Saccharomyces cerevisiae S288C: one gene and its partner. Changing the gene in region 2 together with the main gene of any one other region gives a genetic interaction. Each region holds a gene or a part of one and is shown on either strand. Other genes may lie near its edges.

Region 1 (4,797 bases), on a different chromosome or scaffold from region 2:
TGAGTCTCCTCTCACGTTGTCATTGCTCTTGTTAGGCAACAAGTATCTATTAATCAACGCGATGTTGTTGTGCGGACTTGTTGGTGTTGCACTGTGTCGTACTGATTCAGATACAAGCTCTTTCTTGGGCGACACACCTACTGGAGTCTTGACGTTGATGGAGTTCACTCTTAGTCTCGAGCTGGAATTTGAGCTTGACGAAAAACTGTCCGTAGACAAGGTTGGTTTTCGTGGGTTGAATACTGGATTTGTGATAGAACTCCTCCGATTCCCACCGTTACCGCTTGTTGTATGCGTTGATATCCTTCTTGGTAATACCGGCAACGGACTATTATTGGAATAGAGCGAATATGGCGAATTCATGCTTAAAACTGGGGAAGGCCCGTCCTCGAAAGTGGCCTTCGCATTTAGTATAGGAGTTCTGAATGAACTTGGTTTTTTGCCTGCACCCAACGGTGGCCCCTTCTTTTTCACCTCTTTTAACACTTTTGAATATATATTACCTACTTCAAACGTTTGTGCTACATCTATTGGCTTCCAATTTCCCTTGTCCCTGACATTATCATCCAAGGACACCTCACCTTCATTGAGAAGCATCTTCATACAACTTATACTGCCATACTCCAGGCATACATGCAGCGGCGTGTCGCCATTAGTGTCCATTACCCATAAATCAGCACCAACTCCTATCAACAGACTCAGACATTGGTAGTAATCGTTCATACATGCTATATGGATGGGGGCTCTACCATTCTCTCCGCGATGGTTGATAAATCGCGGAAATTGTTGCAAAAGTAAATGTAAGGTTTGCTCGTGCCCTTTCATTAATGCTAAATGCACACAGGTGTTTCCTTTAAAGGTTTTTATTAGTTCATGCTTGTCGTGCCCCAGCTGAATTAAATACACGCATATAAGGTATCTTCCATGGTATGAGGCGTAATGTAATGAACTCCATCCGTTCTCTGAGTCTATGTTGGTTAGCAAATCCGGATTCCGTCGCAATAATCTTTTCACTATAAGTAAATTGCCTTCAATAATAGCCTCCCGCAAGCGAACTGAGGGCTCTTTCAACATCTTTTGTTCAATATATCCTCTTTTCTAATGGGCGTTTTTTTTTTTTATTTTTAGGGTCCAGTTGATTTATACATTTTCAATTGTACCAGATCAAAAAAGTCTAGAGGAAAAAAACGTAATTAAGACAGAAGAAAAAAAGTATCAACTCCGGAATAACCGGGCCGCAAGAGAAATCAAACAATTAGTTGCACGAACATTTTTATCAGGAATAAGCAGGTAAGGGTAGGTATAAAGGTCAGCTCAGTACACGTATATCGTGTGAGTTATCTTTATTAAAATAATGATTCCAGAATAAGCGATGAGAGAGTAACGCTATTGGAATATGATATGGGAAATATCTTGAAACAATTTCAATAATTTGTCCATGTTTATGCAGTGTTGTACAAGCGTTTTTAAAGAAACTGTATAATATTCAAGATAGCGGGCGCCTCAACCGCTGTTTTGCTCCTCTTTTCTCTTGGAACTCTTGCCAAGAAAGATGTACGCCTTATAAAACGCTAGATGCTATTTCTTGCAACTTTATTACAAAATTTCAGCACTATTTCTTGCAATCCTAGATGTTTCCCTGTCTTCTATCTTCGATGTTAATTTAGACGTTTCTTCAAAGATTCAAGTTCTCTTTTATTGTACTATGTGTGGCAAAAAAAAAAGAAAACCAAAAAATGCAAAAACTAAGATAAATCTACGTACTGCGAAGAATAGCAAGGCAGACTAATAAGCGCACAATACAATGCCTATGGTTACCGTGAAGTATAACTTCCAACTTTTCAAATGTAAAGTTTCGTTGAATTCAACACTAAACGATGTGTTACACCAATCCATACAATTCTTTCAACTGCACACCTCGTCAAACGACTGGTCATTGATACATTTGGATAAACCGGTGCCATTAGATTTGCCATGGAGGCTTCTAAACTTACCAACGGGTGTCAACTTAGAATTATCTAAAAGTAGTAATTTTCCGGTGGCGAATAAGACCAACCGCGAAGATATTCCATTCAATACGATCAAAATACGGTTTCAAATCCCAGGAAGAGATTCCGTGGTTAAAGAAATGCCATCTGACCAACCAATTGCCCCTATCTTGCGACAGATGAGCGGCGCTGCGGGAGATGATTTTAAGATCCAGGTCTTTTCCAAGATAATAGAGTTCAAAACAATTAAGGATGAGAATTTGACTCTCGAAAATTTAGGGATTCAGGAGCCTTCGTCAGTTAGATTGATTTTTAATAATACATCTCATTCTGAGGGCATTAGCGCTAATAGCGCTATTCACCCAAAACAAACTCCCCCTACGATGACGAACCCGGAAACGGTTGCTTCACTACCACCTCACGAACTACATAAACCTTCTGTGTTTTTGCCCTCGGATGAGCCATTAGCAGTTATCAAGGATCAAATCGAGGATGAAGAAGATTATGAATTGACAGTAGAACAAGCCAAGAAATACCAAAAAATGTTATCATCGAAGGCTGGTACTTTGGGTGGTCCTATTTTGACAAAGAGACTTAGAGAGCAATCAGCCAACAACTTGCCAAAGAAAAATAAGGCTATATCTGAGTGTTTGCTGAGAGTCAAGTTCCCCGATAGAAGCCATATTCAAATAGCATTCAAACCCAATGAAGACATGCGTACAGTTTATAACGTCGTGTCGCAGTTCCTGATCGATGAGAACATGCCTTTTACGTTAAACCAATCTCATCCTTTCAAACCCTTGGCTAAAGACGATAAGAAGCTACTGGATGACCTGGAATTTGGCTCTAAAACAATGCTGCTTTTTGAAACAAATTCAAATTCTAATGGCCCATTAATAAAGGCTCATCTTTTGGAAGACGCACAAAAAATCACACACGAAACGAGGACAACCCCATCAGTTAATACGATAAATAAATCCAATCCACAGGGCCCTTCTGATAACGCTACAAGTATCAAAAAGACTTTAAATAGAGTACCTAAATGGATGAAATTAAGTAAAAAATAAATACAAAGCTAAACAGTCTCCTCTTTTAACTTTATTACAAATATGTACACGTATAGCTAAAATTATATAAAATGCATCCGTTTTTTTAGGCTTTTATCTTTAACTTATTTACATCTTCTATTAATTCTTCGAGTAAAGTAAACTCTGTTCCTAATTCTTTAAAAGCATCTTCTACCATCAAGAAAGTAGAACAATCACTTTTTTCCTTCCATTTTATAAAGATCAAAATCTCCCTGATCAAATGGGATATTGTATTCTCTTGATTTGTACCCTGTGGAATGTTTTTTAAGATTGACTCATTATTCATTAGCTCCGCCTTCCGTAACTTGTACTCACAAGCATCTTTACTGATGTTACTAATATCTCGTAAATATTGTCTTTTCAAACCCTTTAGAATATACATACTCAAATCGTAATCAATATTCAAGTCAAATTTTTTCGTTAGAAACGTTAATATGGCAGGTATTGCTTCTAAATCCCCGCTTTTCATGAACGTGGACACAATTAATTTAGAAAAAGTTTTGTCTGGCAAAATTTCACCATTTTCTGCCGTCATTTGGAACAATACTCTTGGGTGACAAGTTGGGTGAATCTTTATCTGCCTTTTTATTAATTTCTTTACAATGGACGACTTTTTCGATAAAATCCTAGAATTATTTTGTAAAACATGATAATAATGGCAATACACAGACCAAATCTTGTGGTACAGCGGTTTTGTTATGATGCGACGGTTGTAAAATCGGCAAGGGTTTGAGGTGGATAATGAAGACTCAGAGCTCACCTGTTGTTTGGATTCAAGTAGCGGATTGATGATCTCAAAACTTGAATTAAAGTCATACATGCTATCATAAAAATTGAGTATTTCTCTCAAAAAAACAGCATTTGGGATAACCTCTGACTCCTGCATTCTTTTTAAAAGTGACTTCACTTTCTGCTTAAATTCCTTTTTTCTAAATGAGGGCGTATTTTGTGCCTTCATATTTTGAATTTGAAGACTATAAAATTCAACAAATTTAGCGTAATGATATGCATTAACTTCCGAATAAAACTGATTATAGAGTAAATCTGGATCTGTTTTTGATTTCTTTGAGGCTTCTTCTAGTTTTTTTAAGATATTATATGCTTTTTCTTCTTCACCTGTACCGAGAAGTATGTTCAACAAGCCATTAAACTTTCTGGAACGTGACACACTGTTTAATTCCATCCACTGTCCAGAAGCCTGTTTAGTAATGAACTCTTCCAGAAAATCAGTTAATACAATACTTTTTGTTAAGGCCGAAACATTCTCAAACAGCAATTCATTGTATATTGGAGAATTAGTGTTATACTTAGTAATAACGCTCTCAAATGCCTCTTGCAACATTTTCACATTATTCTCAGGCACTACATAATCTTTATTTTGAGCAAAAATGTTTCGTAGCTTTTCAAAATCTTTCAACATATTTAGCTTGGTTTTAACAAGTAGAAATGCGGCATCTTCTTGTGTCGTTCCAGGTATTTCCATGTACTTGCTGATAAGTTGAGCCGCCATGGGAATATTTCTCTTATAAAGATGGAAATCAACAATGCTGATATAATCATGATCCGATGGTATTTCTAGTTCATTTAAGAACTCAGTTGCATGTTTCTCATTCTGAAAATTTTTAACTCCCGTGGGAAGTTCCTCCTGCTCATCTTTCATTCTGATTATTCCAACTTCTTCCACTAACTTAATAAATCGATCAGTCAGTATATTAGCTTCA
Region 2 (7,711 bases):
TCTTGAGCTGACATGAGATGTGTATTTGCTTGGTTTATGGGCTATTGTATGGGTTTGTCTTAATATCCTTTTCGGTTGCGTAAATACTTTTTATATTTCAATATTTCACGATGCCGCTGATAGCATCGTTTAATACGAAAACTTCGAGCCATTTACCAAGAAATATTCTGGACTAGGTGGAAGGAAGCTTCGAGAACTCACCGTGGCTATTCAAGGCTGATGGACATATGTACTGGGCTGAGCTTAAGATCTCCCATTACTGCTCCGTGGGGTTTTATGTGAAATGTGGCGTTTCAGCAGTTTTTAGTTGGCTAATTTCCTAAAAGTAGTAATTAGTTTCTTATGATGGATTTAATGGCGTAGTTCATCCGCGTTTAATTTAACTAGAGGATAATCTACTTGCAGCATGAATGAAAATAGTAAGCCAGTAAGGATGCACTGACAGACTCAGCTACCGATTAGTGTTGTTGACTTTTCCGCAAGATCCTTTTCTCCCTCTTTGGACCTAGTCATCCCTCCACACAAGATTCGCTCTTAAGTAGTGGCGCAGGCTGTTCGCTTTTAAGCATAGTGCTTAATGTCGAAGGCTTTATAGATCCCAAATACTACGCCTTGAGAAATTGAATGCACTAGCAGTTAGTTAACTTTCTGGAACGCGCATGACGCGTCCCGGGGCGCCTGAGGCGGAGCGTTCGCGAAATCGGGAAAACATTATACTGGGAAAGATCACTATCTATTCTCTAAATGAACTTTTAAGCAAATTATCGTAAGATAGAAAAGACGAAACCTTAGCAACCTAGCGGTTTAATATAGAAACAATTTTATTATGATACCTTCCAATAAGAGAAATGCTAGAATTTTAAGCATTACAACGCTATTATTGTTGTTAGTGTTTTTCGTAGCGCAAAATGCGAACTTCTTGACGGTAGAGATAAAAGAGGAAACTTCTAAAGCATTTAGTACTAATATGGACAATATGGCTGGAGGATCTTCCAGGGAATATGCTGCTATGCCGACTTCTACCACGAATAAGGGGAGCTCTGAAGTAGACGAAGAAATTAATGAAATAAAACAGAAGGTGGGACTCCAACAGCCCATAGCATCGGTTGATGATAGTTTGTCGGCCATTAAAAACGATAAAGGGTCGCGAATAACCAAAGCTTTTAATGTTCAAAAAGAATACTCCCTCATACTAGACTTGTCTCCGATTATAATATTTAGTAAAAGCACCTGTTCATATAGCAAGGGCATGAAGGAACTGCTTGAAAATGAGTATCAGTTTATCCCAAACTACTATATTATAGAACTTGACAAACATGGACATGGGGAAGAGCTGCAAGAATATATCAAGTTGGTGACCGGTAGAGGAACTGTTCCAAACCTTTTGGTTAATGGAGTATCAAGAGGAGGTAATGAAGAAATCAAGAAACTGCACACTCAAGGGAAACTTTTAGAATCATTACAAGTCTGGAGTGATGGTAAATTCTCGGTTGAGCAACGTGAAAAACCTTCCAATAATTGAAATTGTTACAAAAAGGAAAGAAGAAAAAATTAAGAATAAATATATAAATAAAGAGGTCGTGAATGATTAGGTCGTGAAATGCAGTGTAGTTGGAAAGGCGTAGTTTTCCTAGCACAAGGCGTTTCGGAGTTGGAATAAAGAAGCTATCACCAACGAAGAAGCTTTTTTGTCCAAGACATCTCTTAAAAGGGTTGTGAAAACATAAAACGCTTAATGCCTTCATATATACATATATAAGTTTATGGTTTCGATGTTTACAATAACTTCTATCCTTTGCTGGTCCATGCACTTCACCTTGGTAAGTTATGCAACGCACTTTTGTCTACGCCTGCATTCGATATAAAGGGTAAGCTGCCGAGATAACTTTTGTATCTTCCGTGTCTGCAGATAAAAAAATAATGCATTCTTCAAAAACTTTGTACAATATCGGGAGAGTTTAACAAGCAAAGTGGCAATACAGATTATAAAAATATGAAAGTTAAAATAAACGAAGTGCACAGTGTGTTTGCTTGGTCATGGCACATCCCTAGCACATCTGATGAGGACGCAGCCAATAACGATCCAATTGGCAATGATGAAGACGAGGATGTCTGTGGTATCTGTCGTGCCAGTTATAACGGTACCTGTCCAAGCTGTAAATTTCCAGGCGATCAATGCCCTTTAGTGATTGGGCTATGTCATCATAACTTCCATGATCATTGTATATACCGTTGGCTTGATACACCAACCTCAAAAGGACTGTGTCCGATGTGTAGGCAAACTTTCCAGCTACAGAAGGGTCTAGCAATTAATGACGCTCATGTCCAAAAGTTCGTTGAAATAGTTTCAAGAAGAAGAGAAGAAATGATAGAGGAGGGCGTCGCAGAAGAGTTTGTGGACTTTGATGAACCAATAAGGCAAAACACCGATAACCCAATCGGTAGACAGCAAGTTGATACCATCCTGGACGAAGACTTTTTGTTACGATAAAAAAGAAACTTAGAAATCACAATTAGCTATATTTCCATACGGTTCTTTTCTTGTGAACGCTGTTAACATTCTGTATACTTAAATGAAAATTTAATATTGATTTTTTCTTGTTGCAGCTAAAGATAAAAAAATTTTCTTTTCCAATCGTTGAATAGATGTACTGTAGCCGGAACTGAAGTTAAGGTTGTTAGATTGAAAAAGAACAACAGTGTACTAATCATGCTAACGATGACAGCGGTATCGTTGCATACTTAGAATACATAAAAATATGCTTCCAATCGGATTTGAACCGATGATCTCCACATTACTAGTGTGGCGCCTTACCAACTTGGCCATAGAAGCTTCTGATTTGTGTTCATTTGATTGTAAGTTAGAGTATTTCAAGCTCTAACTCAATTATGTGAACTTTCATAAAATTGTGTTATTTTTGAGAAATATGTGAGTTGTTAGATAATTGTTGGGATTCCATTGTTGCTAAAGGCTATAATATTGGTATACAGAATATACTAGAAGTTCTCCTCGAGGATATAGGAATCCACAAAAGGGAATCGATAGTTCTACATAATGTTATTATTTTATCTTCTTTCCTTTTATGCGTTGTCATTCATTATCCTATTACATTATCAATCCTTGCATTTCAGCTTCCATTAGATCGGATGACTGTTTCTCAATCTTTATGTCATCTTCTTACACCGCATGTGATAATATAATATTAAATAGATGATATTAGAGTTCAATTCCAACAATTTTCATTCTAGATAGCGGGAATATTACTGGGTATTCAGTATATCACAACGTCTCTTACAAGATAGAGGATACTACAAGAGGGAAGCAAGAATCATACATGGTAATGTTGTTTTTTCTTCCCCACATTTTTTGTTATCATTCGTTATTTATTATATTTTCAATGCTTGCATTTGCAGCTTCCATCTCATCTGATGACTGTTTCTCAATTCTTATAGTGTGTTATCATGTACGGTATTAGATGATGACATAAGGTTATGAGAAATTGTCGTCGAAGTTAAAGGAAGCTGTATTCTGTATACATAATACTATAGAATTTACAAACAGTGGAATTGCAACAATTATCAAATTATTCACCTAATAATCACCTTTAACATTCAGGGAGGTTTATTTTTGCTTCCGAAATTTTTACAGTCTACAGGGAAGAAATAAATATTTAGTTGAGAAAGTTTTGTTTATTTGTAAGTTATTAATTTGAAAAATAAATACCATAACTAGCGCAAAGCTTATAAAAGAGATGTTTGTTGAAAAATGCAGAAACCCCATATATAAAACCATGAAATGTCACAATGGACATGATGTACATTCTTGGAGATAACATCATATTCGAAATATTCAATATGCCCAATTGGTACCTGTTCTCCATACCCCATTATATGATACAAATGATCTGCCCCTATTCTAACACTGTGCTAGCAACATAGCAATTATACTAAATTTTTTCAGTCACTATGCAATACATGTAATCTCTCAACTACCAAGCAGTCATTATTCTATTAATATATATTTGTGCTTGGAAGTATTGTTTCACTTCTCAGAGGCCTTTCTTGACATGTTATAGTTTTTTAGGTACCTTCTAATCCTGTAAATTTATACAAAAATTGGTATATAATGGCTACCTCCGGAAATTTTAACAACTTTTGGGTCACACTATTACTGTGTATACTTCCTTTAGAGATCTCAAGCATTACTGAAAGATAACCTGAGGAAAAACATAGCGCGTCTACGGATGTGTAATACTCGCTGGATTTCCTGGTAAAAACTACTGTACATTTATCAGCTGCCTCTGCCAATGCTATTGAGAACCGTAGGTTCATTAGAATTACTTCATTCAACGGAAAACGTCACTATACCTGCCGCTTGTGTGTCGCGTCAGTAACGCCTTGACAGAAAAAGAAAGAAAAGAATATGACCGACCGATCGATGTATTATTATTATTGAACTGATTATAAAAAATTGGAACGTCGTAGAATCAGAAATCATAAGACAATGGCCAACTATGCCAAATCACACATCAATATTTAACCGAGATAGCAAAAGAAAATAAATTTCGATTATTTTTAAAATGTAACTGACAGTTTTTGGCACTTGTGGACTTCCTCTTTCCGGCAGATAGCAAAACCAACGGTAGAATGGCCCCGAAATTTAAATTTTATTTCATTGTGTGCTTGAGCGTGGCCTTTTTTTTTTTTTTTTTACATATCACAAACAATTCACACATTACCACACATACCATAAGCTAACGTATGCGGTGCAAAGTTCACTATTAGGCGCTTAAAGGCTTGGAACGAAATGACTTCTGGCTTTTGTTTCCTATACACATTCTTAGCAAAACTTTTGGTGTTGTAACAAGCAATGAGATAGAGAAAGAAATATATCCATCAATGGAAGAAATAGGCAGACGTCGGTAATTTTATTCTATTGAAAATATGCAAAAGTGACAGTATAAATTGAAGTAACTAATTTTACATCTAGTAAGCTGCTGTTGAAGAATTGAATAGTATCGCAGTATTTATTTTGTATACCCTTAGAATACACATACTTGGTGTTAGAAGCCATCTAATACACTATATAACTCGGGGATTAAATCATCTTGGAAGAGCGAATCTAGTTCAGGATCGCCTGTCGTAAAGTTCGAGGATAAGGACATCGAATTTAGTAGTAGTCCTAATGACTCGATGTTATTGTCTAAAATTTGTTCAATTTCTTTTCCTGATTTATCATCGTCTTCTTGAATAGGTAAACAGTAATATTTACCAAAGTTCAGGAGGGTTAGGATGGTGTGAAAAATTATAGGAAGGAACATCAAGAAAGTGCTTGAAATATTTTTCTTGGATTATGGAAGTATCAAGAACGATATTATTTCAATAATGTGATGGTTTATATCTTTGCATACAATAGATTTTGTGATACTTTTTTTATGTAATGGTCCCGTAACCCCGTCGCTCTTTCCCTTTTAATTTTGCCCGATCCACTTTCTATGCCGGTAGTTTAGCCGCCAAGTGCTATTTTCAAACGAATCAATAGTAGCGGCTGCAACTTTGAAAAAGAAAGAAACAAAATTATGCGCTAGTTTTCCATTTCTTGTATTCTTTTTTCTTTTGCGGTGGTAATTACGGGAATTTAGTGATGTTGGAACGAGAGTAATTAATAGTGACATGAGTTGCTATGGTAACAATCTAATGCTTACACCGTATATTAATGTACACCTCGTATACGTTTAAGTGTGATTGCACCTATTGCAGAAGGAATGTTAAACGAGAAGCTCAGACAATACTGAAGCTGTGCTAAAGATCTATTAATTGAACATGATATGGTAGGTACATATATGAGGAATATGAGTCGTCACATCAATGTATAGTAACTACCGGAATCACTATTATATTGGTCATGATTAATATGACCAATCGGCGTGTGTTTTATATACCTCTCTTATTTAGTATAAGAAGATCAATACTTATTTCTTCATTAATACTATTTTTTACCTCTAACTATCAACAAGTGATAATTGTTGGAATTCCATTGTTAATAAAGGCAATAATATTATGTATACAGAATACAGCTTCCTCTAACTTCTATGACAGTTTCTCATACCTTATGTCATCATCTAACATTGTACATTATAATATACTCGTAGTAAGACTACTAGTTGAGAGAGAATAGTTGATTTTTATTCTAACAAATAATATTCCAGCAGGTTTACATATTCCTAGGTTTGGGATATATCTTAAGTCAATAATTCATCATTAGTAAGGCAACTTGGCCGAGTGGTTAAGGCGAAAGATTAGAAATCTTTTGGGCTTTGCCCGCGCAGGTTCGAGTCCTGCAGTTGTCGTCATTTTTATATTCCCAATATTTTTATCACTCCGGGTAACGAGTTATTAACGGTTTTTCTCCGGTGGCAAATGTCTCTTTTCTTTTACCTAAAAGAAGGTTAATGTGAATATTAGTGAATATGATGCGTATCAGTGTCAAGCTTACAGTCAATTCAAGTTAAAGAAGAGACAGCGTTTTTAATAGAAAATAAAATGGGACAAGGTGTATCATCTGGACAAGACAAAAAGAAGAAGAAGGGATCTAATCAGAAACCCAAATATGAACCTCCCGTTCAATCTAAATTTGGTCGTAAGAAAAGAAAGGGAGGTCCAGCTACTGCTGAAAAATTACCCAACATATATCCAAGTACTCGTTGTAAGTTAAAGCTTCTAAGGATGGAACGAATTAAAGACCATTTGTTATTAGAAGAAGAATTTGTCTCTAACTCTGAAATTTTAAAACCCTTTGAAAAGAAGCAGGAGGAGGAAAAGAAACAATTGGAAGAAATACGTGGAAATCCATTGAGCATTGGGACCCTTGAAGAAATTATAGACGATGATCATGCGATAGTGACAAGTCCAACTATGCCTGATTATTATGTATCTATCTTATCCTTTGTCGATAAAGAGTTACTAGAGCCTGGATGTTCTGTGTTATTGCATCATAAAACCATGTCCATCGTAGGTGTTTTACAGGATGACGCCGATCCAATGGTTTCGGTCATGAAAATGGATAAGTCGCCAACAGAATCATACAGTGATATTGGTGGCTTAGAATCTCAAATTCAAGAAATAAAAGAGTCTGTAGAGTTACCGTTAACACACCCCGAACTGTATGAAGAGATGGGTATCAAACCTCCCAAGGGTGTGATTCTTTATGGTGCACCCGGTACAGGTAAGACATTGCTAGCAAAGGCTGTTGCAAATCAAACATCTGCCACATTCTTAAGGATTGTTGGCTCAGAGTTAATTCAAAAATATTTGGGGGATGGTCCTAGGTTGTGTAGGCAAATTTTCAAAGTAGCGGGTGAGAATGCACCAAGTATTGTATTTATTGATGAAATAGACGCCATTGGTACTAAAAGATATGACTCCAATAGTGGTGGTGAGAGAGAAATTCAGAGAACCATGCTGGAATTGCTGAACCAGCTGGACGGGTTCGACGACAGAGGGGATGTGAAGGTGATTATGGCCACTAACAAAATCGAGACTCTTGACCCAGCATTAATCAGGCCTGGGAGAATTGATCGTAAAATCTTATTTGAAAACCCTGATCTAAGTACTAAGAAAAAAATTTTAGGGATTCACACTTCCAAGATGAATTTAAGTGAGGACGTTAATCTTGAAACTTTAGTAACAACAAAGGATGATTTGTCAGGCG

Evidence for each region.
Region 1: mutations in APC11 (region 2) and UBX4 together harm fitness more than expected from each alone (negative genetic interaction), as found in Saccharomyces cerevisiae (2 studies listed by BioGRID).

Annotation. Positions count from the first base shown.
Region 1 is NC_001145.3:402,581-407,377, reverse strand, and holds UBX4 (Ubx4p), read left to right. Parts: upstream 1-1,804; coding exon 1,805-3,055; downstream 3,056-4,797. Other genes in the region: AVO2 (Avo2p), read right to left, coding at 1-1,074; SOV1 (Sov1p), read right to left, coding at 3,141-4,797. UniProt on the Saccharomyces cerevisiae protein: Involved in CDC48-dependent protein degradation through the ubiquitin/proteasome pathway.
Region 2 is NC_001136.10:431,504-439,214, forward strand, and holds APC11 (anaphase promoting complex subunit 11), read left to right. Parts: upstream 1-1,993; coding exon 1,994-2,491; downstream 2,492-7,711. Other genes in the region: YDL012C (uncharacterized protein), read right to left, coding at 1-14; glutathione-disulfide reductase GRX6, read left to right, coding at 827-1,522; YDL009C (uncharacterized protein), read right to left, coding at 1,422-1,745; YDL007C-A (uncharacterized protein), read right to left, coding at 5,064-5,321; proteasome regulatory particle base subunit RPT2, read left to right, coding at 6,544-7,711. UniProt on the Saccharomyces cerevisiae protein: Probably catalytic subunit of the anaphase promoting complex/cyclosome (APC/C), a cell cycle-regulated E3 ubiquitin-protein ligase complex that controls progression through mitosis and the G1 phase of the cell cycle.